3 linked regions of the Lepisosteus oculatus genome follow. The protein of the gene in region 3 interacts with the protein of the main gene of each other region in a pairwise test. Links are inferred from orthologs where the notes say so. Each region holds a gene or a part of one and is shown on either strand. Other genes may lie near its edges.

What was found.
Region 1: the proteins of amotl2a (region 3) and nfil3 interact in binary tests that used the Homo sapiens proteins (3 or more experiments, as listed by UniProt). The two-hybrid records come from large-scale screens. The link is inferred for Lepisosteus oculatus from reciprocal best matches to the Homo sapiens genes AMOTL2 and NFIL3.
Region 2: the proteins of amotl2a (region 3) and brms1la interact in binary tests that used the Homo sapiens proteins (3 or more experiments, as listed by UniProt). The two-hybrid records come from large-scale screens. The link is inferred for Lepisosteus oculatus from reciprocal best matches to the Homo sapiens genes AMOTL2 and BRMS1L.

Annotation. Positions count from the first base shown.
Region 1 is NC_090698.1:49,937,485-49,944,913, forward strand, and holds the start of nfil3 (nuclear factor interleukin-3-regulated protein), read right to left. Parts: upstream 3,016-7,429; 5' UTR 2,818-3,015; intron 2,148-2,817; exon of another isoform or gene 1,839-2,147; intron 1-1,838.
Region 2 is NC_090703.1:3,197,349-3,204,334, forward strand, and holds the start of brms1la (breast cancer metastasis-suppressor 1-like protein-A), read right to left. Parts: upstream 3,016-6,986; 5' UTR 2,585-3,015; coding exon 2,449-2,584; intron 1,860-2,448; coding exon 1,769-1,859; intron 1,568-1,768; coding exon 1,440-1,567; intron 1,173-1,439; coding exon 1,093-1,172; intron 919-1,092; coding exon 822-918; intron 248-821; coding exon 158-247; intron 1-157. Other genes in the region: ralgapa1 (ral GTPase-activating protein subunit alpha-1), read left to right, coding at 5,667-5,772. UniProt on the Homo sapiens protein: Involved in the histone deacetylase (HDAC1)-dependent transcriptional repression activity. When overexpressed in lung cancer cell line that lacks p53/TP53 expression, inhibits cell growth.
Region 3 is NC_090708.1:10,078,052-10,085,401, forward strand, and holds the start of amotl2a (angiomotin-like 2a), read left to right. Parts: upstream 1-4,330; 5' UTR 4,331-4,785; intron 4,786-6,749; 5' UTR 6,750-6,812; coding exon 6,813-7,350. UniProt on the Homo sapiens protein: Regulates the translocation of phosphorylated SRC to peripheral cell-matrix adhesion sites. Required for proper architecture of actin filaments.

The sequences.
Region 1 (7,429 bases), on a different chromosome or scaffold from region 3:
TTTTATTCATAAATACAATTCATTTAATGACTCGACACACCTATGAATGAACAATATGATCAGGTTTTGGACATAACTGTAAGTGATTCCTGGACTCAATGTTCTAGTTAAATATGTCTTCACTTAAAAAATGAAAATAAACCCTCGGGAATAATGGATAAAGTAAAGACGCATCAGAGATACATTGGGCTACTTAACCAATATACATAAAATAGGTAGAGATAAAAAAAGGTGAGATTTTTAAAAAGTCGTCAAGATAAAGTAAAATAAAAAACACGGGAAAAACAATATAAAACGTTTTATATAAAACATAGAAAGCAGCCACAGTTAAATCCCTCATAAAAAGATTGAAATAACCGCATAAAGGTAACAATAACACATCCAAGTATTAAAAATGAAAACAGTACAAAAGTTACCCACTTTGGGCAGTAAAACGTTTCCATTGTTAGCTCAGGCATTTTTTCCAAACAGTTTGAAGCTGTACTCTGCCAGTTTTGGAAAATCTGGCACGCCTTACTTGAACTCTGCACTATTGCTCAAATGCAAATTGTTATGCAACTGCCTCAGCAACTCTCACTACGGCTAGCCTCTCGGATTCGAATTATGTCACTCGTTTATCGGAGTATCCCGATTACACAATTACTTTACCTCTTTGTAAACTAAAAATAAATAAAGCCAAGCTCACGCATAAACAGACAAACGGCTCGACACACTTGCACTGATAAAAATAGTTTAAAAGCTCCCCCGGCGTTAACTCTAAAAATAGGTAAGGGCGAAAAGAAGTTAAGTATCCGTCGGGATAGCATCTGTGGGACGTTTAAATACTGAACAACATTTGGATTCATGTCGGAAATTATAAGGCTGAATTACACAGATGACCTTCAGGTGACAGTTGCTGATCGGATTGTATCTTAATTGTCTGTGGTTAAAAGAAATTTCATCGTACGGATTAGGGCGGGCTGCCTGACTGGATTCCCGGACTGTTAAGCAATATTATAATATGTGCTGTTGTGCTAAATGTTCATTGCAACACTGTACATGTAGACGTACAGTACGTGACTAAGGCACCATTGGAGCTCGTAGGACTCGCTGCTTTCACGCCAGCCAGTCGTGTTTATTAGCGCACCAGGAACAAAGGAATGCACCCTGCCATCCATACACGTGTATGCAGCCGATAGGGGAAAAAAACGGGAATTAAAGCACATATAAAAGATGTCAGGTTTCGTGAGCTAGACGTAAAACACGTGCTTTTAATATTAATATTTCAGACCATTCTCCTCTCAGACTAAAAATCTTTTCAGAGCTTGGAGTATTCAAGCCCAGATTCGTATTTTTTTTTAAAAGTTGCTGAGATTATTTTGTATGCGCACAGGAAAAAATATGTATTTCTCTGGTTTGCCTTTTTTAGATGTTAGCGTACGCAAAGCCACACTCCAGCTCCCCTTTTATGGACAACGGTCTAGCCAGACCTGCGTAAGAATGCGAAACACCAACGCCCCTTGACATCCCACTAGCTATGCGCCACACACACAAAAAAAAGATACTATCACAACACAAAAGTGTAACTTAACTATTCTACTATTACATAAGAGAGCAAACATTGCTAGCTCAAAGACGAGTTTACCGGTTAACCCGTTTCTGGCGTGCGTTGCACCTCGTTTAAAGAAGTGCTCGGAACATGGCCTCATGGTTGTTTTGTTCAATTCAGGTTTAAGATTGGCATTTTCAAATGCTTGCCTCACTTATCTGACTCGGTAATTCAAACAAGACTCAAGATTTCCGAAATCGAGAAGAAATAACTTAAAACCTCTGCGCCGGCAGGTTTAACAACAACTCACCCCTTGTAAGTTTTGTGATTTTGTTTCCAGTAAGAGAAAGCGTATCTTTAGTCAAACAATCCTCAATGCCTACATTCGCATGGGTGAATTAAACATTGTTCACGTCTATGTCCCAGATTCCTTTATTGTCAGGATTACAAAATCGCGTAATCAGCTCCCCTATTCTTTCCACCAGCTGCCAGCAAATTCTGTGGCTGCATTATGCAACATTTCCAGGAACGATCCTGTCGTACGTCCTCAGAACAACCGTGACTGATAATATTGATGAAATACGCAATGACGAAGGAATGTTATGTATTTCATTTAATTAAACGGGCACGCGTACGAATCAAATCCATCAATTCCGGCTAAATTAGCCCAAAGTGTTTAATTATGAATTATTTCCCCTCAGGGTCTCTTTTACTATTACTTGGGAAGTAAACCTATGCTTAAGCCCATAATGTACATGTGAGTAAATAAAAATCTCCATTCATAACTGGTTTTAAGTGAGAAACTTGGTAAACTCACCAGTCCGCGTTCGTGTATGCATTCATAGGTCTCAGACAATACATTCACTCCTAACTGGTCATTGATCGTATAAATTAAGAACCACAAAGCAACAATGGCAGGATCATGACTTTTATCACATCAACGTCTCTATACAGAACAGCGCACATGATTAATTTTCTGGGTCACTATGCCATGGTTACAACGGTGATGTTTACACAACCTGAAAATCATGCCACAGCCAGGACCTCGTTCCCCACAGACACTGAAAAGTCATCAAAGCTTATGAATTAAAACCCAGAGACGGAATTCGCAACAGTGGATCCTTAGACTGTATTATTATACGGCAAATATATATTACGTTCAAAAAAGACTACGTGCCACTCTGGTACACTGCAATGTAACTATTTACCTTAAGGTGGCGATTATCCCATTGAATAAATCCTCAAAAACTAAGTATCTGTAGGTTTTCAATAAACAAGTAATGGTTTACCTTTTCAATCGAACACGACCTAAATGTCAAAGATGCGGCGTCCTGTGACATCGTAGTTTAAAATACACGTCGGTACCAAGAAAAAAAACAAGTTAAGTTTCCTTGGTGGTCAAAATCCAATTGCATTGAAGTAAAACCTCTCTCTCCCTAGCTTTCCAGTCCTGGAGTGTCTGCTCCACAGATCTGTGTTAGTAGGTCAGTCAAGAAACGTATTGGCAACACAGCGTGTTATTGACACTTAAAACAGCCAATCCGAGAAAGGCATTATCTGATTTCACCCAATGATGACCTACCCGAGCTGCGAAACCAGTCTCTGGTACACAAGAGTGTATCTTCTGCACCGAATTTGCACCTATTGCATAACAAGCTAGAGAGCAACGGAGTTATATGTATAATGTGACTACTGTATGTAGTAAGAGAAAGATGTTTCGCCCGGTAGGATTACCAATGGGGTGTGACGGGGTCTTATTTGAAGGATTTTTTCAGATGAGTTCTGAGGACACTAAAATAACTAGTTGGAAGTTTCAAAAGCGTAGAAATGCAGACGGGGATCATGCGCTCAAAACGGGACTGTAAACATAACATTTCACTGTAGAAGGTCTGTCTTTATTTTCTTTCTACAGTACTTGAATGTGTTTTTAAAAATCCTCTTGGTAACGACAGTGCAAAAACACATTCAATTTATCTACCCATGTGTCCGCAGCAAAGAGAGAGAAAAAGATGCATACTTTTTCACAAGGTTTTGTAACATCCCAGACTAATGAGGGTGACACTGAGTAGAAGTTAAGGCTCTGTACTCTAGGGCTTAAGGTTCCACAACACAATGGATACTATTGTTATATCCTTGGAAAAGGTAGCTATCCCGATATTGTTCCAGTCCTAAATATGACTCTGCATTGCCCTGTGATAGACTAGTGTTTTATTCAGAGAGATCAACGTATTCTCAAGTTCACGTCACACAACAGAAAACTGTTCAGACCTGACGAGGCATAAAGCTTGAGTACAACCTTCACATTTATCTGCTGGACTTCAGTGTTAAATCTTCTCCCGTATTTGCTTTTTGCATGTGTGTTACGGAGGTGAACAAATACATTCAAGTAGCCAACATTATTTCAGTTTCAAAACCTGGCAGTAATTTTGTTTTTGTTTTCCAATCTTTGGCATTTACAAAAGCAAATACAAACAAATGTATTTCCTAATACGGGAATACAGTAAGCTATTGCAAAAGTACAGTATTTTGTAAAAAATGTTAGAACTTTAGAGGAATACATTATCTAGGATTTACAGTGAAGGGGATGGTGTATATGTTTGAAATTAACTTTTTTAACTCTACACTTTCAGAATAAACTGACTTGAAATCTACTTTATTATAGTAAAGTTATTTAATAGAATTCCTGTATAGTTAGATATACTGTAGGTAACTCTGGAGTAAATTCACATTCTAATTGATGTGTTCACAAAGACAGTGTGAGTGCTTACAGCTCTGGATCCATTCATTACTATTGGGTTGTGGTTTATGGGTTCAATGTTGTAGCGCTTTGCTGTTGTATATTTTTAAACTGGAGATCGATTAGACTGATTGCTGCAGTCCACCAGTATGTACCAATGGATACCTGTACTGCTGGAGATGTTCACCTGTAGTGGACTAGCAATTGGAGATTATTCTCAGTTTGCTTAAAGACTGTCTTGTGACGGCCTTAACATTACACAGAAAATGCAGTCTTTTCCTCAGTAATGTGAAAACATTTCAGCAAATGGAAATAACATTACACTATAACTAGTATATGGCGGTAACAAACAATACGTTTTTGCAATCTTTAGTTATTAAGTATTGATATATGGATTACTCCACAATAATGAGTACTCAAAGGGTTTTTCTTTCAGGGTTTGGATAAACAAGCATCGGAGAGGGCTAAACAAGGAAGTTCTCCTTTCTTTTGAGAACTTTTTAACCATTTCATAAAGATGATTTTACTAGTTGAGTGGCCTAAACATATTCCTGTCTCACCTCACACCCCTTGGGTCCAGTGTTCAATTCATGTTCTTTTCTTTTGTGATTCTAAATTAAACTGTAGGGCTGCAGTATATAAAATGACAGTCATCAGGATTATGAAGATAAAACTCTCTGCCACACTGAAATCTGCAGCCTAAATAGCAGAGATATAAAGTTTGACACAATGTTGGGCACAAAACAGAGCACAGAGCATGTCAGTGCTTAGTAGCTTGGACTTGTGCGCCGGGTAAGAGCTGATGCAGATGCATGTGCAAAACAATGATGTGATGTGAGATATATACTGTATATACCACAAATACAGAAGCACAGTAGCAAAACTGAAAAAAATCACATTGAGTTGCTCTCTTTATTATAAAAAGATCAGAATGTAACTCAGTAGACAAACCAAACAATCCAGGAACCAGTGTGAGGAGACCTGATACTTATCTCTTAGGCAAAACAAAACCCAGCCCCCTTTAAGCAAACCAAAACCAGTTTCTAAACAAACATTTAAGTCTGAAATAACACAGCAACTCAGAGCTGTTGAGTACTTACTACCCACCAGCATTTTTGGAACTATTTGAACTAAAAGAGGAGACATTTAACTTATTGCCTAAATTGAATTAGCCATGTGTGTAGGAAGTGAACTTGTTAACTTAAATGGAATTTCCCTCACACATTCACATGGCTGCCAACAACAAACTATGAAGTCATTAACTGAGCAGCCTCCCTGTCACAAGAGTGCATCATTACTTAATTCATAGGACAATATGCTTAAAATCTTAGCTACAAGATAAATCTAACACACGCTGAAAATTAATAGTTATGTCTATCAAGCAAACACAGACTCGTTTATGTAACACTTGGATTTCTACAATACAATAAACGGTTCATGAAAAGGTGCAGTCAACAAGCTTAGACAAGCTATACTGAGTATTCATTATTCACAAACATTGTGTAATTTATTTTTCCAAAGTTAGGTAAAGTAAATATTACTAATCCAGGACTCCAGGACTGTGTAACATGTTAAAACTATAAACTCCCTCGTACTCATCCATTTTCAGTTCATCTGGCATTTGAATATGATGCTAATTAACAGCATTTGAAATGATCTTATCTTAAAATAACACCATGTGTACCTTGACTGCAACTTCACTTTGTTAAAATATGTGCTTTCAATGCTTGTAATTCACTAACCAAAGTGTGAACAGTCTTTGTGTTAAATGTTCTTTCAGAATGTTGCAGTGGTAAAATCAATACATATTTAGTGGAATTAAGTGATATGTGAAAGCTCACGCATAAAACAGCATCATAAAAAGGTAGTGACGTTTATGCGTAGGAGTAATCTCTTGGTCCTCTGTGTTTCAAACAAAACTTTGATCTAGAGTAGACTATCCACCTTTAAAATATACAGATAAACATTTCTGCTATTAAAATACATTTTCTTTTCTGATTTAAATAGGCAAAAATCTGTGTTATGGGCAGCACAGTGAAGCAGTGGTTAGCATTGCCGCCTCACAGCGCTGAAGCCCTGGGTTCAATTACCATGCTGCTGTCTGGGTGTTCCGATTTCGTCCCACAGTGCAGAGACATACTGATAGGTTAATTGGTTCCTGGGAAAATTATTCCGGTTGTGAGTATGAATGTGTTTTGTGGCTTTGTGTCCTGGGCCAGACCTGTGATGGACTGGTGCCCCATCTAGGCTGTATTCCACCTTGGACCCATTGTTTTGTGGATAGGCTCTGGCTCCCCTGCTTCCTGTTCATGGAACGGAATCTATAATATTAATGCTAACATATGGTCTTGGAAGCACAGGTCACATACAGGCATTCAGTTGTAAAAGCTACGACTTGTTCATTTTGTTTTTGGTTTACCTTCAACTCAATGTAATGTGTAATGGAAAGCCTGTTTACCACTGTTTACGTTTGAAAATGTATTTCTCAGTGTTCTTTAGGTTTGAGCTCCCAATGCTTTCAGCAGTTTTTCAATATGTACTGCGCAATATTCACATTTTTAGTTTGTTATAGTGTGTTTTCTCTGAAGTGACGTTTGTGTGGTTATATGACATTCATGGCATTTCCTTTAAATTGTTATTGTTACCTTTCACTTTGAAACACCTGAAGTTAAGACTGCCACGAGGAAATATGTACGATATAATTACAGGTTTATTTTTTTTTCCTTGTCACTAAACAAAAGATTGAAAAAAAGATTTTTTCTCTCTAGCCTTTTTTAAACAAAATTGTCCCTTATCCATAAATGTTGGTTGTAGTGTAGTATAGTTTTAGAACTATATTTTGTGTATTTCCTGAATTTTTCCAAAGCCATAACTATTAGCAGTTGTGTATCAGCTATGATGTGAACCTTTATACTGGTTTGATAGACACATTCAGACTATGACTTGTTGGAACGGAGCCAGTCAGATCATACAGTATAGCAGACATACTGCCCTGTGAATAAGAGCTGCTCGGTGAATGTCATTATTGTGTGGGTAATGATGTAACGTTATGTCAAAGGTTTGATTTCCTCTCTTGCTTCATAGTTGCCTTCTGGTATCATTTTTAAATGTACATACAGTCTTGCAACTTAACTTAAGATCCTTCCTAAGGATCCTTCCTATTT
Region 2 (6,986 bases), on a different chromosome or scaffold from region 3:
CCTTTCTCACAGCCACAGCTGCCTCCCTGCTTCCACAGGCTCCAGCACAGCGCAGGACAGAGACACAGCAGCGTCCCGGCCTGGCGGCAGGCAGCCGCCGTCTCACGGCGCCCAAGGCGTCCGAAACTCCTGACTTAAGAAACACAGCGAAGGATATCGGAGACGACAATGGGCTTCTTCTTCTTGTCAGGGCTGAAGGGATCTTTCTTCTTGTTCTTCCTCGACTGCAGTTCATCGTTCCAGAGCTCTGCAACCATACAACCGAAAGGCTGTTTTTGTCCAACTGCCTGTTACTGTTTATCGAATTACTACAGGAGCTGACACAAAGCATCTGAGATCCAACTCAAACTACTATTTACAAATGCAGAAAACAAGTGGTAAACGTTCTGTGGAATTAACAGCCTTACAATTATAAAAGAGTGCATGCTGAAACCATGTTGAACCTTGAGTCACCCATAACTAATGACAGTTCTAGGCTCATTCCAGTCCCAACCCCTAGAATTCACCGTAATCCTGCAAATATATACGTATGTTTTAGTAACAGTACTGGACATGGGCAAAGACTTGGGGGCGTTACCCCACCACTAACTCATCCTGTCCCTACCCTTGCCTTTAACCAAATCTGTACCCTAAAATATGCCCACGTCCAGCAGAATTTACAACAGATGATACAAGCCCGAGGTTGCAATAAAATGCAATTGTGTTCGCTCCACTTCCAATACTCTGCCAAGCGGCACGGGGACTGGCGGGGAGGGGCCGGAGCCCGTGGCAGGCTGGGGCTGGCGTCGGTGGTGCTCCCAGCCCGCCTGGGTCAGACGTACCCGAGGTGATGTCAATACTGTGGCGGTCCTCTTCCAGGCGCCGGATCTTCTCTTCCAGCTCGTTCTGCACCGTGTCGAACAGGAGCAGCTTTTCGCTCTGAGCGAGGGAGGCAAGGAAAAAAAAACTGACTCGTCAGTCGAGTAGCCACGCCTCCCGACAGGTAAAACTCAGCTCGGGGAAAAAAAAAATCGCCATAACATAACATTCGTTTTCATTAAAACAGCCACTTAGTTACACAACTTCAGCGAGTACAGGGACTGGGTTCCTCACCTCCCAGTGCTGAAATGCCGCTTGGATCTCACAGTCATATTTGTTCTTCACCGATTCCAGACACAGCTCTCTGTAAATCCCTGGAGATGGGAGAGGAAAAGCAGTTTACAGCCTCCAGCTTAGACACCCTCCTGGAACGATCTTCCCTCTTTAGACCTTGATGGGTAGTTTGTGGGCCAACATTGCCCCGAGAGACATGGCATTCCACTCAAAAGAAAAAAACCCAGTGTATTTCTAAAAAAAAACGCTTGAATGCTCTCCGTGAGTGCAGGTTTGGAGAACAGAACAGGGCAGGGTTATAACACACAGCTGTCCTCCACAGCCCTGGAGTCAGGACTCACACACACCTGCCACCTTCGTCCTGATCTGCATATTCTCCTGCAGAGTGGCCAGGGGCTCCAGGTACTCTGGTGCCTTTCCTGCTATGACTTCTTGCAGTTTGGCATCCACCTGGCTGAGCCTTTCCTTATACAGCCTAAACAGAAGGGAGACAAAAGGAAATGAGCATCTTCCTACCCATTCAGCTTGTCTTCCACAGATCCTGCGGCTTCCTGAAAACTCCCCCCTTCAGAGAGTGGCAGCGTCCCTTACTCGAGTTTAAAAGTGGTAAAGTGGGTATTGAAGGCAAGACATTTTAGCGCCTCGTTCATTAAAAGCGCAACGCCGATCTCCTTACTGGTCTTTGAGGTCCGTGAACTGTTTCTCCAGGTTGGTCATTTCGTCTAAGCACTCCATTCTCCTCCGCTCGCAGTCTTCATCGTCCATCTCTGCTCCGTGCACGAAAAGAGACACACAGAAACAAGTAAGTCCGGCTTCACGCACAAGGCGAATCTCCCAACCATTACAGCCACAGTATCGCTCTACATATTGGCAGGAGCTACAGATCTGGGGAGGGAACGGGTGGTCATTGCGCTCCAAAGCACTTTGCAAAAACTAAAACACGTGGAGCTAGCAGGTCGGAGATTTCCGAAGCCGTCACAAACTAACTCCCGAGCAGTAACGGCGCACCGGGCGGCGTGACAGCTCCGGTCCTGCAGATGCGCTCGCGTGTGTCCAGCGGCTACAGATGCGCCCCCCCATGATTAACACTTCGGGTCCCCGGGCGGCGGCACGAGAAGCTCGGGGCGAACCGGGGGAGACCCCCTCCGACCGCAGAGAAGCAAAGCAAGACCGGCGCTAAAACCCCTGGGTCCGCAGCTGAAAACAGAAACCCCCTCGGCACCGCTCCAGCAGAGGCGAGTGTCTCTGTGCTCCCCGGGGTGAGCCATGCTATCGATCGGTACAGGCGGACCGGACGTGATCGACGTGGCTCAGGCAACATTTCTCGGGAGCTGAAGCGATCGGCGGCCACCCCACCTGAACTGTCTCCATCTTCAGACACGGACGAGCTGTCGGTGTCCTCCTCGTCCGAAGTGCTCCCCTCTTGCTCCGGGTAGTCCACCTCCATTTCTTCGTGGTTGCTTTCCTTTTTGTCCCGCGAATGCACCGGCATCGCCCCTTCGGTGTACCCTAAATACCGGCTGGCAAAACCCGCAAAAACTCACCGGTCCCCCTGTTTGCAAAAAAATAAACAGACGCAAAAATGCCAGTGACTGACAACAGCCTGGCGAATTTCAGATTTTGAGCTGCAAATACGGACTCTAACAATGGCCAATCACACACAACTGGAGAAATAGACCTCTCGATTCGACCAACCCACTCCAAAAAGGGATACGTTTAATGTAAGACAAGGATGGTTGACTGGCGCGTTTTTGTTGTTTTTTTTCTTGTTTTTCCTTTGGTTTTCTGGGACTTGTAGTCTTATGAGCCATGTGATTAGGTTGAAGGCGGCGGGACAAGGGAGGGGTTGAACTACATTTTCCAAAAGTCTGTTTTTCACTTTGCAAACGCCACGGCCCACTTCCGGGGTTGATGTGACATAACCGCATTCAAGAGCATGACGATTTCCCCTGTTCGGTTATCCCCGGAATACTTCGGGTAATTCCGATTTGATGTGGGCGGTGCCAGCCCAGACATTATTTATCGAGTTAACAGCAAGTGATTTCTTAGCACCTCAAGTCAAGCAGTGCGCTTGGTACGACTCAACAATCCACAAACCAAAAGGAAACTCAAGCTCCACAGCATAACATTCTGCTGCTTTAACATCTTAAACGAAATTTTTAGAGAGCAGTTCATTCTGCCTCAGAGTGGGCCTCCCAAATGTGTATTTGTAAGGGTTTAAAATAAACAAAGACATTTACTGTACTGTAAAAGGGAGATCTTTTTCCCCAAGGTTGCTATTATGCTTTTGATTTTATCGCAATGTTTACCGTTTTGTATCTGGGTACTGTACAGTGAAATGCTATTGAGAAAGAGAATTTCATTCTGTGAAAGATGACTGACTGGTGTTGTACACTGTATGTATGTTAATGCTGTATGTTAATTCCTTACACCTATATAGCGCTTTTCTGCACACTCCACTAAAAGCGCTTTACAGGTAATGGGGATCCCCTCCATCACCACCAGTGTGCAGCCCCACCTGGATGATGTGCCAGAACGCTCCCCACACACCAGCTCTCAGTGGGGAGGAGAGCAGAGTGATGAAGCCAGTTCAGAGATGGGGATTATTTGGAGGCCATGATTGGTAAGGGCCAATGGCAAATTTGGCCAGGACACTGGAGTTACACCCTTACCTTTTTGAGAAACACCCTGGGATTTTTAATGACCACAGAGAGTCAGGACCTCGGTTTTGGATCTCATCTGAAGGAACGCGCCTTTTTCACTATACTGGGGAATCAGGACACACATAGACCGCAGGGTGAGCGCCCCCTGCTGGCCCCACTGACACTTCTTCCAGCAGCCTCAGCTTTCCCAGGAGTCTCCCCTCCAGGTACTGGCCAGGCTCACACCTGCTGAGCTCCAGTGGGTTGCAGGGTGATATGGCTGCTGGACATCTTATGTATCTTAGTGTTCAGTGTGCAGTTTAACAAAAACATGTATTTTTTCAGTCACACAGGGGATATTCCATGTCCTCTTGGTTGTGGTTTCTGGGTGCAATATGCTGGCTAATAAGGAACCCGAGCCTCCAAACAAACCCCGTCTCCGAAAGGATCAAAACAAATGGGTGTGAGAAACGTGACTCTGGGCTCTTGGCCAGGCTGGCACAGCGGCGCCGTGTGAGCAATCCCACCACACGAGTGGGTTCGATTCGGGCTTCGAGCCCCTGTGGCCGGTGACGGACCGGTGACCTGTCCAAGGTGTGGTCCCAGTGTAGAAATACACCATCAGGACGGAGGGTGTGCATTGAATGTCTTTCGAAAGAAAAAAAAACAGGTCTGAAAGTATAGCCAATACGATTTCTTTCCTCGCGATCGTATTATCTTGCTCTGCTGTCGATTTCTCAGCCTCACCACAGGAGTGTGGTTGTGGTACAAAAGGCCAGGCAGCAGGGTTTGGGAAGCTTTTACAAAAATGGGACCCAGCAGTACCTCTCCGCACAGATTCCCAGCGAGCTGTAGTCCGAGAGCCGGCGCCTCACGCAGTTCCAATGTAATATACGGAAACTTCCTTTCACCACGAAAGCAAGGGAAATACCAGACGTCCACTGTAAAATTCGGTTGTGCCACATAAACCAGGACTGCCTCACGCTTGCTTGAACTAGACATTATAATTGATTGACGATCAGGCTGTTAATACTGAGGTGTACGTTAAATCTTTGTCGCCACGATCCGCACAAACGTATTTAAAAGTACTCGAAGCAAGATAGTTTTATTCAGTGTAGTAACGTATTAAACACATTTTAAAAACATAGACAATTCTGTGGTGTTCACATTGTTTTCTCTTCCACAAGGATGCGTTGGAAAGCACTCGGAATAGACGGGCTTCGCGGCCCTGCAGCTCCGTACCGGCGCAGAAATGCCCCCCCGCCCCCGGGTATCCTCTTCTTCGCAGAACAGGGTGTTTCAGGCGCCCCGAAACTAGACAAAAGAAAAAAAATACGGTCGCCAAAATGAAATCGGCGGATGCTGAAGAGCAGTGAACGAGAAACGCACAGCGTGGCGAGGTTTCCATGACAACTGGCACCTCCGCTCTTGCCAATGACCCCCCCAAAAAAACAAAACAAAAACAAATCCAAGTCTTATACTGACGCGCTTTGCCTCTCGCCTCGTCTCTAAAGAGATGGGCGGCTGTCCTGCTCCGAGAACAGCGTGCTCTCGAAGCACGTTTGACCCGAGATGTAGTTCGAGTCGGTGGGGTTGGATTGCTCTGACTTCCATTGAGTTGTTTTTCCTCCTGAGCGCTCCGCCATGTTTGGAGACATTAGTGCTGTTTGGGGCGAGAGGTGTGTTGCTCTCTGAGGAGGGAAGGACCGCTTCCGATGACATTTTTGTTTCCCCTGCAAAATGCACACCTACCCTGTGCGTTTTATTTATTTATTGACTTTTTATAGCCCGCGGAGGCATGTGAATTCGTGTCCTTTTAAACGTTAACGGACCCCAGACCTCCTCTTTTTTTTAAAAAAAAAAACAAAAACATACACGAAGATTTCCTAGGGGCTGGCTCCTTCCACCGGACTTTCCCTGTCTGCTTTCGGGATGTTTTCTAAAAAACCGCATGGGGACGTCAAAAAATCCACACAGAAGGTGCTGGACCCCAAGAAAGACGTCCTGACCCGCCTGAAGCACCTGCGGGTTGTGATAGGTGAGTCTGCTGCAGGTCTGCGGACATGCCGTCTGTGGGACAGCGGGGCAGGGGGATAACCCCTGTCCCCCCGAAAGCATGGCCGGGGGTCTCTGGAACCGCAGCCGGCGAGCCCTGGGCTATTCCCGCAGGGCCTGTGAGTGAGCCAGCCTGCCCCTCGCCCGTCGGCTTATCGGTCCCCGTGGGCTACAAGTCGGGCTGTGTCGATTCGGCGGCTCCCCCGAGCGTGTTCATTTGTTTTTGTTGTGTCGGGCTGAAGGAGAAATGTTTGCGAGTGTGTTTTCCCCCTTTTTCCGGGGGTGGGGTTGTGTGATACGCTGTCCTCCCCGGGTGAGAGTGCTGTGATTCGCAGAGCACCCCCGGAGTGCGGAGTGGAGATGGCAGGGCGTCCGGCTCCCGTCTCCGGAGGGCTGGTCGCTTGTACCTGCTGGCCGGGGTGTCCCGGGCTGGGAATACAGCGTGTGACCTCACCCCTCTTATAATGGGCTTGACCCGAGGGCTGCCTTCACTGTGTTTTATATGCCCTGTGCATAGTTTATCATGGGAGAAAACAATTCGCTGCTTTGCCATTTCTGTTGTATAGAAGTTACAACATATTTTGGGATAAAAAACAAAACAAATTAGGCATACTGTTTGTATTAGTTCAGGTGTGGAGCTGCGTCAGCATGCGTAGGCTACAAAGGAACGAGTAATAGGATTATTCCATGCTGAAAAGAGAAGAAAGAAAACACAGTATCACACACTGTATGATAAGTCAGTGGGCAACAATGAAGGGTACAGTATGTAGGCAGACCTTGATGTAGTATTCTCCAAGCTTCTCCAAAACGCACAAAACAATTCCTCCGTCTGGTGGAAATTCATTGTTTATTAATGGTCATGCCAAGCGTGTGTGTCCCTAAGAGCAGATTCTGCTTCACAGGCCAAATAAGAAACCCAGTGGCAAGTAACTCCGGACAGCTGGATGAGTTCAATGGTTGTTTCCTGAGCACCGAGCTGCACGCTGTCTGCCATGACAGTTAACAGTGGGGGAATGGACACGAGTGTCTTTGTGATCAGACAGTTGGCGCACCTGCAGCACTTGAGCCGCTGCACTTCCTATGAACAGCAGTCTCCTGAAGGGTTTTCTTTGTCAAGAAAGTCAGATGAAAGAGAATAGCAGGCCTCCTCTGTCAGACAGACTGAAAGCTCAGGTAGCAACTTCAAAGACCTCCTGA
Region 3 (7,350 bases):
GTGAAAGGACAAGCTTTGAATCTAACGTATAAAAGCAAATTATTTTTGGTCTTCAGTATTCTTCCTTGTAAGTAAGCTGAAATAGGGTTAAAAAAAGATAGTTTACTGTAAACATTATTTAGTTGGCTGCAATGATTTTCTACTTAATTACAAAGAGCTCCAGAAATAGATGTAGATCATTGAGTGATCTTATTTGTGATCATCAACGCTGATAATGAGATCATTGTCGAGAAAAGGTAACTGACGTTGCTTTAACCTGAACGCGTTTGTTTTAATTTGGCATTATTCCTGTTCTAGGTGAAATAGCTGCATGTCTGTTAAACTTGCTGCCTCACAGCTCTCACATGTATTTCCCTTCCTTGTGCGGTCTTCCTCTGAGTACTCTGGTTTCCTCTCAGCTCCCTGAAGACATGCAGACTTTTCCCCAGTGCCCTATAATGTACTGGTGTGCTGTTCAGTTGAGTCCTTTTGGTCTCATCCTGAACCCCTATTGTTCTGGAAAAAGCAATGTTGTTCTCAAGGCCGAAAATGGATAAGTACCCTTCTAATAATGGATTATTTCTGGTCTCCTGAGCAGGTGCTAAAGTGTTATAAGCCCAAAATCAGGAGGTCTGGGATAATTGCCATGTTACCATATTATTCATAGTGTAATTTAAATGTCAAAGTGCCTACGTTGAAGGACTGTTACGTGTTTTCAGCAAGCAGACAGTGGAGGACATTGTTCATGGCGCAGAAGCAGCGTGCGCTGACGTTCAAAACCTCCTTTAGGTTTAACTAAAAAGAAAATAGCAACCTGTCACTAAGGCTGATGTCAGAAAGTTATTTTCAGTTCAACTATGGCTCCTTTAATTTAAAGACCAGACATCAGGATCAGGTCGGAGGAGACAAAGGACCTACTATTGGTAAGGTTAAGTAAAGTCCATCTTCAGGCAACACCTGTTCATCAGTGAAAGGCATCTAGAAGCCCTTGAATTGAAAATAAAATGACTTTTAAGTGTCGACTGAAAAATACTCTGCGGAGAATCTGCCTGAAAAAAAATCAATTAATAAATTAAAGCATTTGTTTGACTAGATTTTCTTTCTTTCTACTTTAAACTACATAATGAAATTGCAGAAGTCTGAACACTTTTTACCAATTACTTGCTCTAAAACAATTTGGGAAATGATAGATCGTATTTTAGGGAAGGCCAGGGCGCAGAGGGAGCCGCGGTCGCGCTGGGCCGGGTCACCGTGTTCTGCGGGACATGTCCAGCCGAGCAGCCCAAAGCGGTTCAGGGATTCATGAAGCAGATTCCCTTCTCTGACTAACGCACTGTGAAATACACATGTAGATCAGTCTGCTTGGTATTGCGCTGTGCCGCGATTTGAATAACAATTCTCTTTGAAGTTGGAAACATATCTCATTTATTTACTATACAGTATGTATTTTTTATCCGTCTTGAGAGATATTTGTGGAAATAAAAACACATATAATAAATAATAATTCAAAGCTTTACTATGACAGCTTTTCCAATAAAAAATTCCTTTTGTCCCCCCCTCCGCGTCTTCTTAAGCCAGATGATTGCAATTTCGTGTACATTCATATAGGGTATGGGGAGGAGGCTGTGACAGCGACGTAGCAGATGGTAACCCTCGTTTACAATGTCTGGTGTGGATTGGGGACAATGAATCTCTCACAGTTCTGATTATTGAGAGGATTTTATTCCGAAGACAGCTGGCAGGCAGCCTCCCCCACATCACCCTCTTCTTGCACATACTTCACGGCCATTGGCATTGTGCATTAGTTAAATATTTAAAAGACACCTGGGAGCACACGGGCCTTTTACAGAAATAAAAAAAAAATTCACACAATGTTTCGTGTGTGGGTCATTTACAGCTCCTACTGCTGAATTTCTTTATTGAAGTTGAACACTCCAAAATTGTTGCGACTCTTCGCCTTTACATTTCACAACACCTAGGCTGTGTAGAGTATGCATTTGAATCGTTTTCTCTGACCGCTTTACACGTTTTTCAAAGACGGCGCACAAAGAAACCGTGTACAGCAAAAGCCTTCGGGCAACTTTAGAGACGTTATGGGCGAATGATGAAAACGTAATTCTCACAAATCCATTGCCTCTGTTCATTGTGTGTACGATTAAAAAAAAAGTTTTTTTATTTCGAGAGTCATTTTTTGTTAAAAAAGATAATAAAAGTGTTTTATCAAATAAAAACAAGTTTAAACATGATCAGTTAACCTTCACCTGCGCTCCTTCCTCATCTTGCTAACAAAGGAGGTGAAGAGTTGGGCAATTACACCAGCTACATTGCTATCAGGGAATATTTAAGTTTTACCCGTTCTGGTACAGACTGATTCTCAGAAAAGCTCAAGTTTTAATGTATGCCCCACAATATTGTAAACAAACACATCCTGTACCATTTCAGACGTAAATAGTAACCAAATAACTAACCAAACCAGGTAAGATTGATCATTTTTTCTGTAATGGAATAACTCAGTTGAGTATTGGTATCATGTTCAACATATTTAATCTAGTAGCTCACCAATAGTGTTTTATTTTATTTTTATGGATTACCTAGAAGTTTATTTTTAAGGATTTGGGAAACGTGCAAGAGAGAGATAACGCGCGCTGTATTATCTGCACGCCCACTAGAGGGGTTTAGTGGGAACTGCAGATGTTTTCTGCCTCTGTGGCACGATTTAGCGCTGTGGATCGCGGCAAAGCTGCCCTCTGCCTTAAACATCATACACAATGCCTCCTAATTCGATCGTTTGATCTACGATTGTGCCGTTAAAACATGTTTTTAATTAAAACTAAATTTAAAGTGTTGGAGTGTCAATGAAGTCGCCCCACCACAGATCTGGACAAACAGGGATTCCTAAATAATTCGTTGGTGCAGTTGAAACCAGCGTTTATGCTCCTTTGGGTTCTGAAAAAGAACGCGGAGAGTCTGCTGAAATGTGTGTCTAAAATTAGCACCTTTTGACTTAAGCGTAATATAATCCTTGAAATGGGGGTGAATTGTAATGATAAATTGTGCATCTTTGTGCAATCCCATTATTTATTTCTGTTGACCCAATATAACCCAATAATTAATGTCTTTAAATCTGTATGTACTACATATGTGTTTCTCAAATGTTTCATGTGATGAGTGTGAACAGAAAGGTAACAGGTCTGCGATGAATCTTCATTCTACATAATTTAAGAATTCAGTGATTTGCAAGCTCTAAGGATCTTCATAATAGCGGTGCAAATTGTGTTAAAAATAATGTAGATACACATGCATATAAAGTACACACAAATATGAGCTTTATTTTAGCTTTATAGTTAATAATGAAAACATTTAACAACTAAGTGTCCACATTTTCATAAACAACAGCTTCATAAAAAAAACAACTATTGAAAACAAAAGATGTATTTAAAAGAAAATGTGGAAGTTACTGTTTCCAAAATTTGTTTAGTCAACAAAATTAAAATAGACTTATGAAAGGTTTGTTAGTATTTTTGTTCAGGACTGTTGAAATATTAAAGTCTACATCCAAGCGTTCATAGCATTAACTGTGTTGTTTTGCTGACGTGTTTTAAAATAGTCAACTCAGTACATATTTGTGCAGTACCAGGATGGACATACAGTATACTTCAATAGCCAAGTACTGTTCTATAGTTATGTATTAGGGGAGCACTAAATAACTTAATAAACATCAGTTTTTTTATCTAAGGATTTTCTGTCTTTTTTAACCTTTTAAGATTCATTTGTTCTTTAACCCGCTCTTCACCTTTTAAAACTATTAACACAGTCGCGAATATTAAGTCTAGCTATTATTTTCAGAAAATATGTGCACTGTGTTAACTTTCACCTGATTTTTTTTTCAAATGATGAGAAGACGCATCTCTGTCCATGGTTTAATAGATTCGAAACAGTTTTATCTTTACCATTAATTCATACATGCACACGTCAAGAACAGATAATCCACCTCATGATTTCAAAAGGAGAAGATCTCCCATCCCTCAGCAGACACAGAAAGAAATTAATAGCTCTTACCATCTACTAAAACAAAACAATTTAATCCACTGTCACTGTTTTGCTATAGTGTTCTGTTCGCAGCAACACTATAAAAATTAAACAGTACCAAAGGCTCCTTTAAAATAACGAGTTCATAAATAAAATATTGCTCATTTGGGTTGATGTCTCAGTGATTATTATAGTATTTCGACAAATGTTCATCTCAGGGCTTGGCGCTATTCTGCGAACTGTGCTTTCCCAGTTCCACTGCGGTCTCAGGTTCTGCTCGTCGACTTTCAGTTCAACCATGATGCTGCTGGTGTAGGAGTGACATCACTCCCCTCAGAAGAACTTCTAATATCTCAAAAACCGAAGCAGCACTAACACCACTTTTAACGACACAAACGAATGAATCGGGGCTCATTGTTCGAGCTGTTTGTATGGGGGGGTTGGCAGCTTCAACGAGCTGCTGTAGTCTGTTATTGCTTTTGATCCCAGAGGAACCTGGAGCTCTCGCATTCCGATCATTCCAGCCTCTGTGAACAATCAGCCCTCAGTTATTTATTAGCGCACTGAGCTCTTAAACTGGCTCAGTCTACGCCAGGCAAATCCACAGAGCGTAACTACACTTATTAACAGTGGAATACATACACATGGGCGAACACGCACGTATCTGAACTTACTTTCAATGAACAGATACAGGATTACTTTCAATAATCCGGAATTTAATGAACAGAATCTACACGCGTCTCCCTTCTGCTATGCATTTAATGGAACTGTGAAAGGGTGAGTTTTATTTTTATCGTCTTTCTCTTATTTCACCGGTCACTTGCGATCTTCTCTAATTTTTGTTCAGTGGTAAAACTCATTTTTAGATTTTAACTTATGTATAGCGTTTCTGTGTATCGATTTTAAATCGAACGTTATTATTTAAGCAAGAAGAACTTATTTGAGTGATTTTAGTCTCGTATTTGATGCGAATAGCTAACCTAAAGTATCCAAAGGCATGGGAAGATTGGCATACATGTTATATTGCAATAAATCCATCTATGAGGGCCATAAAGACTGTACCATCAGTATTGTCTCCCAAAACTAAATGCGGAGACTATTGTGTCGGTTCATGTTTAATATTTAGCGATTTGAGATTCGAGACGTGAATCCGGGGAAGGTTCGGAGCTCATCTGGATGTTTGCTGGGTCGGTCCTTTACCCGATTAGACTCACTTTGAAGTCTCAGTGAAATAAACCCTTTGCATTCTCAGGAGTAAAACACTTGTTCGTTCGGCATGGGATGTTTTACAGACAATAAAAGTGGGGATTTTTTTTTCCATAAACACTGCGGGTGTAAAGGCGAATTAGATTTACCATAATTGCGTTCAGTACAGTGCCTCACGCTGTGAAATTGAATAAAAAACGCGTGTTTTCGAAAGAACAAAATATGCAAGCGCTGGAAATATTAGGAGTCTTTCTGGTATTTTGTCTAAACGTACAGATGTGACTGGCGACTACACTGCCCCTTTCCTTCTTCTTTTGTCGTGTTCGTTTTCCAGACTTCGGATTTTATCAAGTCGTATAGTTCGCACATTACAGCAGCACAGTAAGTTATGTAGAAACAGAGCGGCGCCTGCCGCAGGAAGCTGTGTAATGGACAGACCAGTGCCAAGACTTCCTCTTTAACAACTGCCTCCTTTGTCAAAGTGCTTTAGTATTTCAAATCTCTGTATTGATATGTTAACTATATATGTATTTTAATGTAATGAGCTGGAAATCCCAAATAAATTGTTTAAACTAGAATTGGCTGGTGGAGCCTTGAAGGGAAAGATCTCCACGTGAAAGGTTGTTTCCCACTTCTAGAGAGCTTTTACCAGTGGGGCTTTCTTGCCTTCTGAAATGTCAAACAAGTTACCTTCTCCTTTCAAGTACGCAATTCTAGTAATTATCGACACCTTCGTTTCAGTAGAAAGGTGAGGAGGATACGTTTCCCGAGTATAGTGTACGTGAATACTGGGATAAAACAGGTCTTGGGGAGTTTTTTAAAAACATTTTGCCTGGCCACGGAATACGCATAAAGCTGGCTGGGTGCTAGAGGGCTATTTCAGTGATATTGAGGTGCAAACGTGCTGTTGCTATGGCGATGCTCTCTGAGAGGCAGACCACGCAGAGCCGCAGAGCCACAGAGACATGACTGGTATGTGCCCTGTTTTTGTATCGGGGGTCCATGTGGCCAAGGGAAAGAGATTCCACAGTTTCACAAAGCACTGCTTGGCTTAGTTTTGCAGCTGGCTCTCCTTATTTCCCTGATCTAAAATCATCTGGGGGGAGAATGAGCGCAATGTGCATACCTTTACAAAATAAGATACAGAAAACCCAAAATTGGAACCCGATGTTTATTGCATTTCAAGGGACACATGCCTTTCTGTTGAAACATATGTGCCTCAAATTATAGCTGGCCTCTAGCCAAGCTAACAAATTACTCAGAATAAAGGTCCCTCTAGCTTTACTATCTTTATTATTGGTATTGATGTTATTTCATATTAAATCATACTTATCAACCATTCTATAGAAATCTCATCTAGTCTGTAACTAAAATATTTTGGTTACAGCTAGGCCCAGCTACGCTCTTCCAATTTTTTTTTCTACTACAAAATTTGTTGGATATACCAAGGGATAATTGAATATCTTGCAATGTTTTATTTAGTAAGGCCCAAAGGCTTCTTTTTCATAGATTTGTCCTTTTGCTTTTCCTCCCAGACCTGAGGCTACTTCTCCGATTCGTCCCCGGCCCTAACTCGCCTCGCCAAGCCAGCATCCACGATGCGGACGGCGGAAGACTCGTCCAGCACGGTCCTGCACCGGCTGATCCAGGAGCAGCTGCGCTACGGGAACCTCACGGACACGCGCGCTCTGCTGGCCATCCAGCAGCAGGCCCTGCGGGGGGCGGGCTCCGGGAGCCCCCGCTCCTCCGCGGAGAGCCTGAACCAGGAGGAGTCCCAGTTTCTCCAGCTGTCGGCGCGCCAGGAGCCCCAGGGGCAGGAGCACCAGGGGGACTGCCACCACTCGGAGAGCTCCCTGCACCAGCTCTACCAGCTCCACGGAGAGGAGCTGCCCACCTACGAAGAGGCCAAGGCCCAGTCGCAGTACCTGGCGTCCCAGAGGGGCCAGGGGGATGCCTGCGCTGTGATGCTGGACGACGTCCTGCAGGACGATGGTCTGAGAGACCTCAAGCGGGGGCACGTCCGGTCTCTCAGCGAGAGGCTGCTGCAGCTCTCGTTGGAGAGGAACGGCGCGAAAAACCAAATGGCTATGAGCTCCTCGCACAGCTATCCGCAGCTCTCCAAGCATCACGTCCACC